Canis lupus familiaris: one gene and its partner. The protein of the gene in region 1 purifies or fractionates together with the protein of each later gene. This does not show direct contact. Links are inferred from orthologs where the notes say so. Each region holds a gene or a part of one and is shown on either strand. Other genes may lie near its edges.

The links. The genes of interacting proteins can lie anywhere in the genome.
Region 2: the proteins of LUZP1 (region 1) and DAPK3 purify together in Homo sapiens (affinity purification with mass spectrometry; 3 studies listed by BioGRID and IntAct, with this or other methods). This does not show direct contact. The link is inferred for Canis lupus familiaris from reciprocal best matches to the Homo sapiens genes LUZP1 and DAPK3.

The regions. Positions count from the first base shown.
Region 1 is NC_049223.1:75,612,665-75,619,097, reverse strand, and holds the start of LUZP1 (leucine zipper protein 1), read right to left. Parts: upstream 4,389-6,433; 5' UTR 4,274-4,388; intron 1-4,273.
Region 2 is NC_049241.1:55,983,831-55,990,297, forward strand, and holds the start of DAPK3 (death-associated protein kinase 3), read left to right. Parts: upstream 1-2,917; 5' UTR 2,918-3,037; intron 3,038-3,842; 5' UTR 3,843-3,920; coding exon 3,921-3,982; intron 3,983-6,467. UniProt on the Homo sapiens protein: Serine/threonine kinase which is involved in the regulation of apoptosis, autophagy, transcription, translation and actin cytoskeleton reorganization. Involved in the regulation of smooth muscle contraction.

The DNA of each region.
Region 1 (6,433 bases):
CAGTGGTTTTAGGCATCCAACTCTTGATTTAGGCTCAGGTCAAGACCTCAGGGGTCCTGAGATTAAGCCATACGACTAGGAGAGGAGCCAGCAGAGGAGCCGCCTGAGACTCTCTCCCCCTTTCCCTCTGCCCTCTCACCCCCCACTCACACTCACTGGCTCTCTAAATAAAATCTTTAAAAAAATAACACAAGACTGGTCTAGAAGTGGCAACAGAGCTTTCAAACTTTTTCAAAGACAGACTTGAGCTATAGCAGATTGGGACAGGTTCAGTGACCTAAGAAATTATGAGAAGGAGGGGCACCTGGGTGGCTCAGTTGGTTAAGCATCTGGCTCTATTTTGGCTCCGGTCATGATCTCGGGGTGGTGAGATTTACTCCCATGTAGGGCTCAGCACGGAGTCTTGCTTTTCTCCCTTTACCGACCCCCAATCTCTCTCTCTCTCTCCCCCCCTCTCAAATAAATAATTCTAAATAAATAAATAAATAAATAAATAAATAAATAAATAGGTAGATAGATAGATAAGTAAATAAACAATTTTTTAAAAAATTATGAGAAGGAAACAATAATCTTATGTCTTCTGAGAAAGAGACAATTTCTACCTGATGTATTGCCTTTGTGGGATATTAGCTAAAACAAGTTAGAGATAAGCATTAAGGATATTCTGACCCAGGTGGAAGGGCAAGGCCTTTAGTTATTTTACAGCATCCCCACCCTTTAGCATTATTTGAACTACACTGGGTAAAGCACTTCCAGGGACAGCCAAAGATGCTAAGTTTTATATTTCAGGAGATACCATTTCAAAAAGGAAACAAAAATAAAAGTTCAACTCCTTAATAAATCTTTGGGTAATTCCACCACCACCACCCCCGCAACCCCCCCAACCCTCCGCCAACGACAGCCCTGTCCTAAAATGAAAACCTGGTTCCTCATGAATTTCTTTCCCCTGATCTGCCAAGTATACCCCTATCTCTACCAATCTTATTCTTCTCATGCACCTCATCAATAAATACCTAAGGTTTCCCTATTTCCTACAGAGTTAGCATACTAACTCACTCTGATCTCAATAGTTTGAATTAGGGAACACAGAAACTTCGTAACATTGCCAGGAATTACTTTGCTAACCAATACCTTAAAAAAAAAAAAAAACAAACAGTTTAAACAAAAGATGGCAGTTGTGATTACACAACTGTGTACATCTGTCAAAGCTCATCAAACTGCACACTTAAAATGGATGAATTTTATCGTATGTAAATTAGACCTCAATAAAGCTGAATTTTAAAAAAAAGTGAGGGCAGCCTGGGTGGCTCAGTGGTTTAGCACTGCCTTCGGCTCAGGGCGTGATCCTGGAAACCCAGGATCAAGTCCAGCATCGGGCTCCCTGCATGGGGCCTGCTTCTCCCTCTGCCTGTGTCTCTCATGGATAAATAAATAAAATCTTTTAAAAAACAATAATAAGAAATAATAAAAAAGAGTGTTTCTTCAGCAAGTATTTACTGAGCATCTATTATGTGCTTCAAAGTTTATACCAAATCTTTCAGCTTGACTGTGTCCTACCTGTAACTAATGTGCTTTACTTATAAGCTGACACTATCCCAAAAAGCCAGTATTACATGAAAAATGGTTCAGCTTCTGATTATGAATGTCACCCTAATTATGGCTTCTACAGTGGAAGGACCATTAGCTATCCAAATTTTCCATTATATAAGTGAAATCTATGATCACCCAAGTACTCTGCATTTCAACACAAATGCTTCTGGGGGGGGGGGGATATATAGATATATAAATATATACATACACACACACAATATACACACCTACAGTATATAGGACACACCACTAGCACAAAAACATCTCAATAGCATACTGACAACATTGCTGGAAGAAAAAGAAGGCAATACTACTGGGGAAAGGACCTAATTGACTTATTCTACAGTCCAAGGTGAGCCAGTGGCTGAGTTAAAGGCCTAGAAATTAATGCAGTGTGCATAATGGGAGATAACCAAGGACCTCACAGACTGGGTTTGAATTCCAGCTCCACCTCTTACCATCTGTATGTGTAAACCTGGGGCAGTCACTTTACCTTCTGACCTTCAGTTTGCCCATATGTGAAACAGGGGATGCCAATTATGACCTACAGCATTGTTGTGAAAACTCTATGAGATATATACCACCAAGCACAATTACTGGGCACAGAGTAGGCAACTCACCAAAATTAAGCTCCCCTTCTTGGTCTTAAATTATTCAGGAGTAAGAAAATGCCTATTAATCGAGGCTAATTCATAATCCCTGTTAGTAATGACAGTACAACAATGAACCTGTACTTGCTGCCTTGTTCATACTCTAATCAACTCCCTTCCCCAGCCCACTATTTCCAGTTTTTCAAACTTTAGTTACTATGTTTAGAAAAGTGATTTAATTTTAGAAACCTGGAAAATTCTTCTGAGTAAATTGAGCAAAACCTTAATCTGCCCCAAGGGGAATCCTGAGCAAAAATAATTATTTCTGACAGAAGAATTTTTCTATGGGAGTTACTTAATTTAACCACACGAATGCTACCAAAGCTGCACACAAAGTGACAAAACAATCTGGAACATACCGTACAGATTCTCCAAAGGGAAATATCCTCCTAAAATCCAAACCTCTCCCTCCCTTCCTAATCTAATAAAATCTTACTAGGTGATCTGAGTTCCCCCAACACGAGTCCAGCTCCTTACAGGCCAGAACTGCAGCAGTCCTTAAAATGCTCTGAACAAAAAAAAAACAAAAAAAAAAAACCTCTGCAAACGTCCCCAAAAGGCAGGGAGGTCCAGAGAATATTTTCTCCCCAATCAACAGATAAGGCAACCAGGAGCTCCGAAGCACACAATTCTTTTCCCAAGGTCATTCGAGTCAGTGAAGGAAGGTGCGACGGAGAATCTGCAAGCAATCCCTGGCTTTCTGGAGATCACACTGCAGGGTTGGTTTTCTGTTGGGTTGTGGATGGGGGGACTGGGGGGGGGCGGTGGAAGAGGAGCGGGGGGGGGGGGGGGGCGCCCGGTCTCTTCCCTTCTTCCCTTCTCCCACCCTCAAGTGTGAGCACTGGTCTCGGCATTTCCGAAACAAGCCACAACAAGCTTGCAGGGTTAGGAAAGGGGCTGACGCGACGGAGAAACAGATGCTCCAAAGCAAGACGGTCTTTCTCGGCTCGCAGAGCCTCCTCTCCAAGGTCATCAAGAGAAACCGCAGGCACGTCTGCGGGCTCCCACGCGGGCTCCGAACCCGCAGCCCGGCCGCCCCGGGAGGCCGGCTCCCCCGCAGCAGGCAGCCTCCGCAGCCAGAGGCCACGGCCCCCGAGGCCGCACTTCGTTCCTGCGCTCGGGGCAGCCATGGCTCCTTCCCGGCGCGCAGGGGCGGGGGTGCGCGGGGAGGCGGGCGGCGGGCGGCGCGCGCTGCGGAAAGTTCACCGCGGCGGCGGGGGGCGGGCGGCGGGCGGCGAGGGGCGGCCCGGCCCGGCTCGCCCGCGTCCCCCTGCAGATTCCACCATTAATTAGTCCTAAGGACTGTCTACTGGCAACTTAAACAAAGCGAATGCCTCGAATTCCTTCCCGGCCCAGCGGTCTGGCTGCGAGGCCAGCATCGGCCGGGACGCGGGCCGGCGCGGCGGGCCGACAGCTGCGGCGGCGGCGGGACCCCTCCCCCGGCCCGCGCCCCCGCAGCCCGCTCCCGCAGCCCGGCCGACCCCCCCCCCCCTCCTCCTCCTCCTCCTCCTCCTCGGGAGCTCCCGGGCTCTTCCTGTAAGATCACTTCCTTCCTCCCCGGGTGCCCGCGGGCCCCGCGCAGCCCCCTCCCCGCCCCCCCCCACGCCGGACCCCAAACTCGACCCGAAACTCCCCTCCGCCCTCCCCCTCCCGAAAACGTCCCCTCGGCTCTCTGCCCCGAACGTTTCTCCTCCCGGAGCCTCACTCCCACCAGAACTCTCGCAGATCCTTCCCTCCCCCTCCAAAAGAAGAATTTCCAACTCCAAAAAATTTCTCAAGGTCTCGCCCCAGAAGGTCTCCCCTTCCGAGCCCTTTCTCCAAAATTCCTCTCCAAGGCCGCCCCCTCCCCCGCCTCAACTCCATACCCGCCCCCCCCAGCCCTCCCCGGGGTGCGCCCGCCGGTCCTGCCCTGGCGCCCCTGGGTGCGCCGACCCCTTGCCCGGGCGGGCCGCCCCTCCGGCCGCCCCCTCCGGCCGCCCCAGCCCCCCCAGCCCCCGCGCCGCGCGCCCGCCGCCTCCGCGCCGACCCCTCACCTCGGCGGCTCCGGCCCGCGCTCCCGCCCGCGGAGGGGTCCAGCGCTCCGCTCCCGGCGGCCGGCGCCTCCTCGGGCTCCCCGGGACTGACAATGAGGGGCGGGGCCAGATGGTGACGTCAGCGCCCTGGGGGCGGGGCCTGTCGTGGGGGCGGGGCTGCCGATCCGCCCCGCCCCCTCCGTTCTTTTCCTCCTTCCCAGGACTTGGATTTTGCCAAGTTTCTACGGCTTGCCTAAGTGCCCGGGTCCTGTGCTAGGCGCGGTGTGAAATCGAAATGACAGATAAGAAAGATGTCCTGCTTTCAAAAGGGGCACTCCTGGCGGGGGGTGGGGAAAGGGGTGGGGGGGGAGGATTAAATGAGATAATCCACGTAAAGGTGTTTAGCCCAGAGCCTGGTATTGAATAATCACTCAACGAATACTATTTATAATACTCAGCAATTGTGGGAAAGGCCTTCAATGTGGAGGCATGGCTTCCAGTCCCCAGCTCTGCTATTAATTCATGGTGTGACCTTAGACAAGTCTTTTCCCCTTTATGTTTCTCGCTTTTACCTTCTTTAAGATGGGAAGGAGGGATGACCAGATGATCTCAAAAGTCCCTCCAATAATTCTGTGACACAGTTCCCGAGGTACCAACGGCCCAGAGAAGTGGGGAGGGGGGCCTTTGAAGGGACCCCAAAACCCACAGCCAGTATGGTACAGGACACAGCCACAGACACACTCCCCACGGATGCCCTCCCACATCCTGGCACAGAGCTGCATTCACAAGCCAGGACACAGATGCGCTGAGAGTGGCTACCCCTCAGACTATAGCAGCATAGCTGGTCTCTTGAGACATCTCTTGTGTAAACTCCTTATTGCCTATGGAATAAGGGCCAAAACCCTGGCCTGGTCCGGTCTCTCCCTACCTTTATACACACACACAGACATACACACACTGTAAAGTTTATCCAGACTTCCACCTGCACACCCACTGCTTTCCCACATCTGCCCCATGGCTCATGCTCTTCCTCTGCTGTCTCATCTCAACTTACAACTCCTCCTAGATTCCCCCAACCTGGAGCCGACTCTCCCTGTTCTCAATAATCCAATACCTGTGTGCTGTATTTAACTCTCATGTGCGCATGAACACATTTTAACTAGTATCGCATTGACCTCCTGTTTCTTAGCACTTCCTCACTTCCTTGAGGTCAGAAACCACGAATGTTTAGTAGTGCCAGAAAACCCAGGGATTATACACCCATGTTCTGGCCCATGCTAGCTCTCATTCTTCTCATGTGTAAAATGGGGATATTCATATAGTCCTTGCAGTGTTTGTTCTGAAATTACATAGAACACTGTGCGGAAAGCACCAGGCACAGTGCTCCAGAAATGATGTCGTTGTCATTCTTACTTTCATCATCACCATCAATATTATTTCCAGCTCCTAACACCACACACCACCCCTCGTGATAATTCACCCAATCATTTCATAGAGTTCGACTCTGAGGTCCCGAGAGAGGAAGAGGCCCACTAAAAGTGGCCCTGCAGAACACTGCCCTTGGGAGTGAACCAACACTACAGTTTCTAGACCCCAGGGAGATTCTGCGGAGTCACATGTGACGCCCCAGGGTGTCTCTGTCACTCAGCACCTGTCCAAGTGGGGGACAGCTTTGAGTTCTCTCGGCAAGTTATTTGCGGCAGAGCTGACCCATTTCTCCCTCATGCCTTTCTGCTCTCACTTCCCTTACAAAGAGATAGATCTGTGTTAAACTGCCCTTGGCATCTCTGCAGTCCCTGAGGAGAGCTGCAGCAAGGCACTGGGCGTTTCCAGAGTGCTGGCCTGTGGGAAGAGGGAAAGGGCTTTGGGGTTCTGATTAATTTCCTGAGCTGCAGACAGGCAAATGGTTGTCCTGAAATGCCTGGGCTGGTTCTCAAGGGCCCCTAACAAATTGCAGCTTATTTTTAGAAGAGGAGATTCAAAAATGCCACTTCCCATGAAAAGTAGGCATGGCCACAGGATTGCTCCAGGCAAAGAATGGGCCTGTACTGAGTTCCTCCTATGTGGGGACGCCAATTCCAAGCATTGCAAACCATTGGCAGAGAGAACCCAGGATGCACAGCGGAGGTTCTGAAGGCAGAGCATTCTCTCCAAGATCCATGAGCCCATCCATCACATCTT
Region 2 (6,467 bases), on another chromosome or scaffold:
CAAGGTCCTTTTAAAGTTGGAAAATGTTTAAGATTTGGAGGGAGCACTCCTTGGTGGGAAGCTTTTGAGAGCACGAGGAGAGGGAGAGAAGCCGATTCCCTGCTGAGCCAGAATACTGATGTGGGTCTGAGTGTCAGGACGGTGGATCAGACACTTCAGCAGGCTGAGCCATCTAAGCGCCCTTTTGGAAGTTGTTCTTATTTCAAAACCTGACATTGCTTGAAGGGCACGTGTGTTTTTTGCACTTTTGTAAACATTTATTTTTGAATAATTTTATATTTACAGAAAAGGTGCAAAGATGTTATAAAGGTGCGCTAATTGACTGTTTACTTGGTTTTCCACTAAAGTCCTTTACACAGTTGCAGGGTCCAATCCAGGATACCTCACTGCATTTAGTTTTGCACATTTTTAACATCCAGCAATTTGTCAAAAGATAGGACTGTAAATTGAAGAGGAGACTGTTTTAAGTTTTAAATTCTAAATTCATATGTCACTTGGGGTGTTTGGCTTGCTAACAGCAAGTCTAGTTGTGCATTTTCAGCTGTAAATTTCAAAAGGATTACATTTGTAGGGGCTGACCTGACTTCATTATGTCTTTGTGTTAAATTATTCCCAAGCATCAACGTGTTCAAGTATGTGTGTGTGTGGGTGTGTATTGTTGGCTACATGTTTTCCTTTAATCGATTTTAACTCTTGTCCCTCTAGGCCAGTAGTTCTCAACCTTTTTAGTCTCTGGACACCTGTATATTCTTAATCATATCGAGGACCCCAAAGATCCTTTTTGTTTACATGGGTTTTATCTACTGATGCTTAACCATGTTTAAAAATTTGAGAGATTTAAGAATAATTGTTTTAAAGATAATAAACCCATTGTTTGATAATGTTTTTATGAGGAAAAGAACCTTCCAAAAAATTAGTGGTATTCAACGTTTTTGTAATCTTTGAACTCTCTGGCTTAATAGAAGCCAGATTATCACGTCTGCTGTGTTAAGTCTATCGTGATAACGTGGTTTTGGTTGGATTCTATGTAGCGTATCCAGCTTCATTCCTGTCCTTGGAGAAGAGAAGCACTTTAAGAATTGTTCTCAGGTGGTTGGTGTGGGTATTCTTTGATACAACACCAAAAACTCAAGTGGTAATTTAATTATGTGGTATCCTAAATCGTATCGATGAGCTTTTCATGCTGTTAATTAAACTCCATTGGCTCCATCTTGCACTTTGTGTCCTTTTCCCATGCATGCTTTTGTAACACCATGCATCAGTTCCTTGGAAATACTGGTATACGACGTTTGCTGTTTTTCCAGTGGATACATTTCATTAAATACTGAAAGGTCACATTCATGGAACAGTTTCATCAGGGAAGGGTTGAAGTATCAGGAAATCACTGTCAAGTTTTGGATTTTTTTTTCTACAGTGGTTAAAATTTGACCATTGGCAACAAATCCTGTCCATTGTTTGCCTTTGTGATAAGGTTTTTGAGAAAATGCCGTATACCCAAGTCTAATTTACTATATTTTATTGGGTTATTTCGAGAAAAATGATCCGACTCTAAGTGTGGTATCTACATAAGTTAGTTCCAAAGAATACGGCATGGGAAGGGGAGAAAAGTATTCTGGAGAAACCTGACGGACGGACACTACCTGGAACCAGGTGACCAAGGTCAACGTGAACAGCAATATGGTGATAACCTGGGCCCATGATACGGTGTCATGAGAAGAGGACTTGGTCTTCCTCCCTAAAACCCATCACCCCAGTCTATGAGAATAACAGACAAATCCAGTTGAGGGACATTCTACAAAATACCTGACCAGTCCTTGGAACTGTCAATGTCACTAAAAGGAAAGTGAAACGATGAGGACTCTTAAGGACTGAATATGTGGGATCCCGGATGAGATTTGATACAAGAGGATGATGATGTTCGGGAACACAAATCTGAATAAACGATGGATTTGGTTATGATCATGTATTGCTGGTTCACTAGTTGTGACAAGTGTGCCATAATGTAATATGTAGTTGGCAATGGGTGTGGGAGGTACTTTAAACAAGAATGGAGAAAGGCGATCTCCAGGCTGAAGGACCAACTTGTGCAAATACGTGGGTGGGAGTGCAATGTTTGAAATCGGAAGGCAAATGAGCTTGGAGTGGGGTGAATGAGGACAGAACAGCATGAGGTCAGGATAGTCGGGGACGCTCAAGACTTGGGGTCTTTAGTCACATGGCATCTGCAGTGGTGCAGCACCGGCTTTGGGTTCGGGTCTTTCTGGGAATGAATCTCAGCCATGACATTGTGTGACTCCCAGTGAGTTACTTAACCTCTGGTCTCGGCTTCCCCGTCTGTAGAACGAGAGAAATGTTAACATACGTTACCTCCTAAGATTGTTGCGTGGTTCGTACGAACTAGCTGCTTCATCCCGTGTCTTGAGACAACAGGAATCAGAAATGTCTCAAGGATGAATGGCAACACCTGACCGGCCTCATCTGCATTTTTGTTTATGCATTTGGGATGTGGGTAACATTTTACGGAGGGGGAAACTGAAGTCAGGGACGAAAGCCGTGCCTGGGCCCACCCCAGGAGCGGTCGTGCGGGAGCGCTTTCGCGTATCTCGAGCTCTAGGAAGGTAAGAGGGATGCAGAGGGTCAGCACCGAGCTCCTCGGCTTCAGGACCCAGGTCAGAGGAGAGTGGGCGGGGCGGCCCGGGGCCGGAAGTCGGCCTTCCGACTTCCTAAGTGTGCCCGACGTCCGCCCCAGCCAATCGGCTGCGGGAGGGCGAAAGTGTCAGCCAGTGGCGAGGCGGCATCCGGGTTCGGAGGACCGGACGCCGGCGGGCGGGGCCTGGAAGGCGGCCGGGGGCGGGGCGTCACGAGCGGCGGGGGCGTTGGCCAATGGGCGGCGGGGACCGCCCCCGGGGGGCGGGCACTGGCGGACGCGGTGACGTCGACGCGGGTCGAAGCGTCCCGGTGGCCGAGGCGGCGGGGCTGAGGAGGGCGGCGGTAGCCAGCGCGGCAGACGGCGGGCCGGGGCGCGGGGCCGCGGAGGGTGCGGAGCGGGCGCGGCCGGCGGCGGCGGCGGGCGGGGGAGGCCGGGGCGGCTCTTGGAGGCGCGGGGGCACGTCCGGGGACCCGCGGGCTGAGCGGGCCGGTGAAGGGGCTGGTCGGGGCTTGCGAGGGGCGTGGCGGCCTCCGGGGCGCTCCTAGCGGGGGTTAGGGCTCGGAGACACCTGCGGGGGGTCTGCCCCCGAGCTCGCCCCGGGGTCGGGGCAGAGGGCAGAGGGCAGAGGAGGAGGCTCTGCGGTGTGGCCCTTTGCGGGTGGGGGAGACGGCGTGGGGGCCTCCGCGGGGGAGCCTTCGGGGGCGGGGCGCCGGGGGCCGGGGCGAGGGGCCGGCGGCGGGGGCTGGCGCGAGCTTGACGGCCGGGGTCCGGGGGGAGTGGGGGAGGGGAGCTGCGGGGGCCGGCGCCGCGCCGACTCAGCAAGTTGGGCAGGCGTGCGGAGCCCCGGGGCTTAGGGTGTGCGGAGTGTGGGGGAACTTGCAGGAAGGGGGGGCTTTGGATGAGCAGGTCGGGAGAAGCCTGGGAGGGAGAGGCAGAGAAGGGCTGGGGCGGCGTGAGGGGAGCCGGCGGCGTGGGCCTGGGGGAGGTTTCGGGGCTAAGCGGGCACAGTGGGGTTGCCACCAACATTTTGGGTGGTGTGGTCACCGAGCGGGATAACAGGAAAGCACCCCGGGCGCCACATGCACGTGCCCTGGCCGAGGATCGGGGAACTTAGTTTTGGGGGAACTTAGTTGTTCCATTTAGGAGTAATGGCTGGTGTCTCACTTCTTCCCTATTTCCCTGTCTCCTCCAGGTCACAGCTCAGGGACTCCCTGAGGTCCTGTCGCCAGCCTTCAGTGAGAGGAGGGCACCAGAAGGCAGGCCGCCCACCATGTCCACATTCAGGCAGGAAGACGTGGAAGACTACTATGAGATGGGGGAGGAGCTGGGCAGGTGAGCAGGGCCTGTGGCCGCCAGGGCTCCGGGCATGGGCAAGAGCAAGAGGCGCTGCGGGGGTTTCCAGATCGCATCCCCCCTCCTGTCCTTCATTCCCCTCTCCAGCGCGAATGAGTCAGTGGCATGTGCTGGCGGAGGGAATTTAGGCTTTGGAGTCAGGTGGCCCTGACCGCACGTTCTTGCTCTGACCTTCTCTGTGCATTTCCTTCGGGGAAAAATAGAGTGGAACGCATGGAGCGCCTACCAGAGCGCCTGGCACGTGACATGAGAGCGGTAGGTGGTGGCGGTGTTTGTTGGTAAAGGTCTGTCCCTCTGTTGAAGCCTGTCTTGATTGAGGGAGGTGATTGATTCTCGGGCACGTTTGCAGGAGAGGCCTCCTGTCTGGGCCCACGTCCCTGCCAATTGTTTAGCATTCTTGTGGGAAAGCGCGGAGGTTTCCCATTCCAGCCAGGCAGCTGATTTCCTGTCTGGCGGGGCCTTGAGTGTCCCCTGAGAACACCCTGCCTCAGACTAGCCAGTCACCATCTCCTCCCCACCCCACCCCCCCCTCCAGCTTCAAACCTTATTTGGTGAGTTCTCTGCTGACCAACCCATGATGTCACCAAAAGGGAATGTAAATAACTGAGTCGTGCCTCAGGCCTTGGCTGAGAAAGTGTTTCAGGCTCATTTGGGATTCTGAAGTCTCTCCTTTAGGAATTTCCTTAATAGAGTCGTAGAGAATGTAGGGTCCCTCACCCCGTCCCCTTCTCTTCCCCCATGCCCCCTGCCCAATCTCATCCTTTACTGTTGAAAATGTGTTAGGTTCTCCTGCTGAGGGTGGCTTGGCAAAAGTCAGCCAGTGTCCCATGTAGATTCCCCTTAATTCGCCAGCTCCACTGTTAGGAATTAATTCAGCGGGAATACATGCATATGCAAACCCAGTGACCCAAGAACAGGGGTGGTTGCTGTAAGGATTGTATATGAACAAAGGGCGGGGAGCCTCTTCAGTGGTCCCCCCAGCACCACTGCCTCTGTGGGTGGAATATTACGCAGCCATTACAAGGATCCAGGCAACCTATATGATGTTCACCACCTAAGAAGTGTATTGAAGTTTTGTAGTAGCTGTGTCAGTTTTAATAGTTTTAATATATTTTATTTAACCCAATAGATTGAACTATTACATTTTGCTTGTAATCACAATAAAAATTATGAATGAAAAATTTTACCACCTTTCTTTTTGATATGAAGCTTTTGAGGTCTGGTGTGTGATACACACTCAGAATACATCTCGGTTTGGACTGGCCTGTGGGCCACCATGTGGCTGGTGCCTGTCATCTTGGACAGCACTGCTCTGGTGATCCCAGTTGTGCTCAGAGAACCATGAGGTGAAGGGTTCAAGGGACAGGACACTGTGAGCACTGTGCTGCAGTTTGTATGAGTTACGGATGTCGTTTTGACGTCTGAATTCTAGTCTGTCTTTATGTTTTGTTCATCTGCGAAAGGACCTACGAGGCAGGTGTGCTTACCCTCCCCGTTTCATACAGGAGTGGAGGCTGAAAGGAGGGAAGCAACTTGTCCAAGGCCATGTGGGGGTCAAGCCTTGAGACCAGGCCCTGCTGGGTGCAAAGCCCAGGCATTCTGGAATCAGAGGTGAACATTAGGCTTCCGCCTGCCCCCCTGGAACAGGCCCATTAGAGGTCCCAGTGAAGAGCAGCCCTGCACGTCAGGAAGAGCATGCATCCTTCTGCCCCTGAGAGCATCCTCTCCCATGCTTGCTCTGCACTTTGGCAGGTGGCAGGTGGCTGCTGCAGGGAGCTCTCAGTTTCAGAGGCAGGCAGGGTCTTCCCTGAGGCCAGTTGCTGATTGTCTTTGGGGAGTTAGCTGCCAAGCATCACCGTGGCAACGAGGACCAGGACTAAAACAGGGCGACACTTTGTTGTTCCAGGGGGATGGGGCCACATGAACTGGAAGCAAGTTTCTTTGTGTGTGTGCTTGGGAGGGGTTGGGGAATTCTTTCTTCCTAGTTCACATTGATAGTCTTGGGAAATAAATAATTAGTCTGTGGTCGACAAGTGTGGACTTTCACCCTGGCTTTGCCTTGGTAGAGTGATGTGTGCACCTGGGCTGGCTTGGGACAGGGGGCCACGAACCAGAGGTTTATGCTCTCCCGGGCCTGGAGGCAGGAGGCACAGATCAGGGTGTCACTGGGGCTGATTCCTTCTGAGGTGCCTCTCCTTGATGTACAGATGGCCATCTTTTCCCTGTGGCCTCCCAGGGCTGTCCCTCTGTCAGAACAAATCTGTTCTGCTCTCCTCTTAAAAGGGCTTGGATTAGATTGGGTTCAGCCTCTCCTGTGAGCTCTTTCTAACTGAATCACCTCTTTAAAGGCCCTGTCTCCAGATAGTCCCGTTCTGAGGTGCTGGGGGTTAAGACCTCAACATGGATTTTTGGGGTAACACAGTTCAGTCTAGAATAGCATCTTTTTACCTGTTTCCATGAGCAT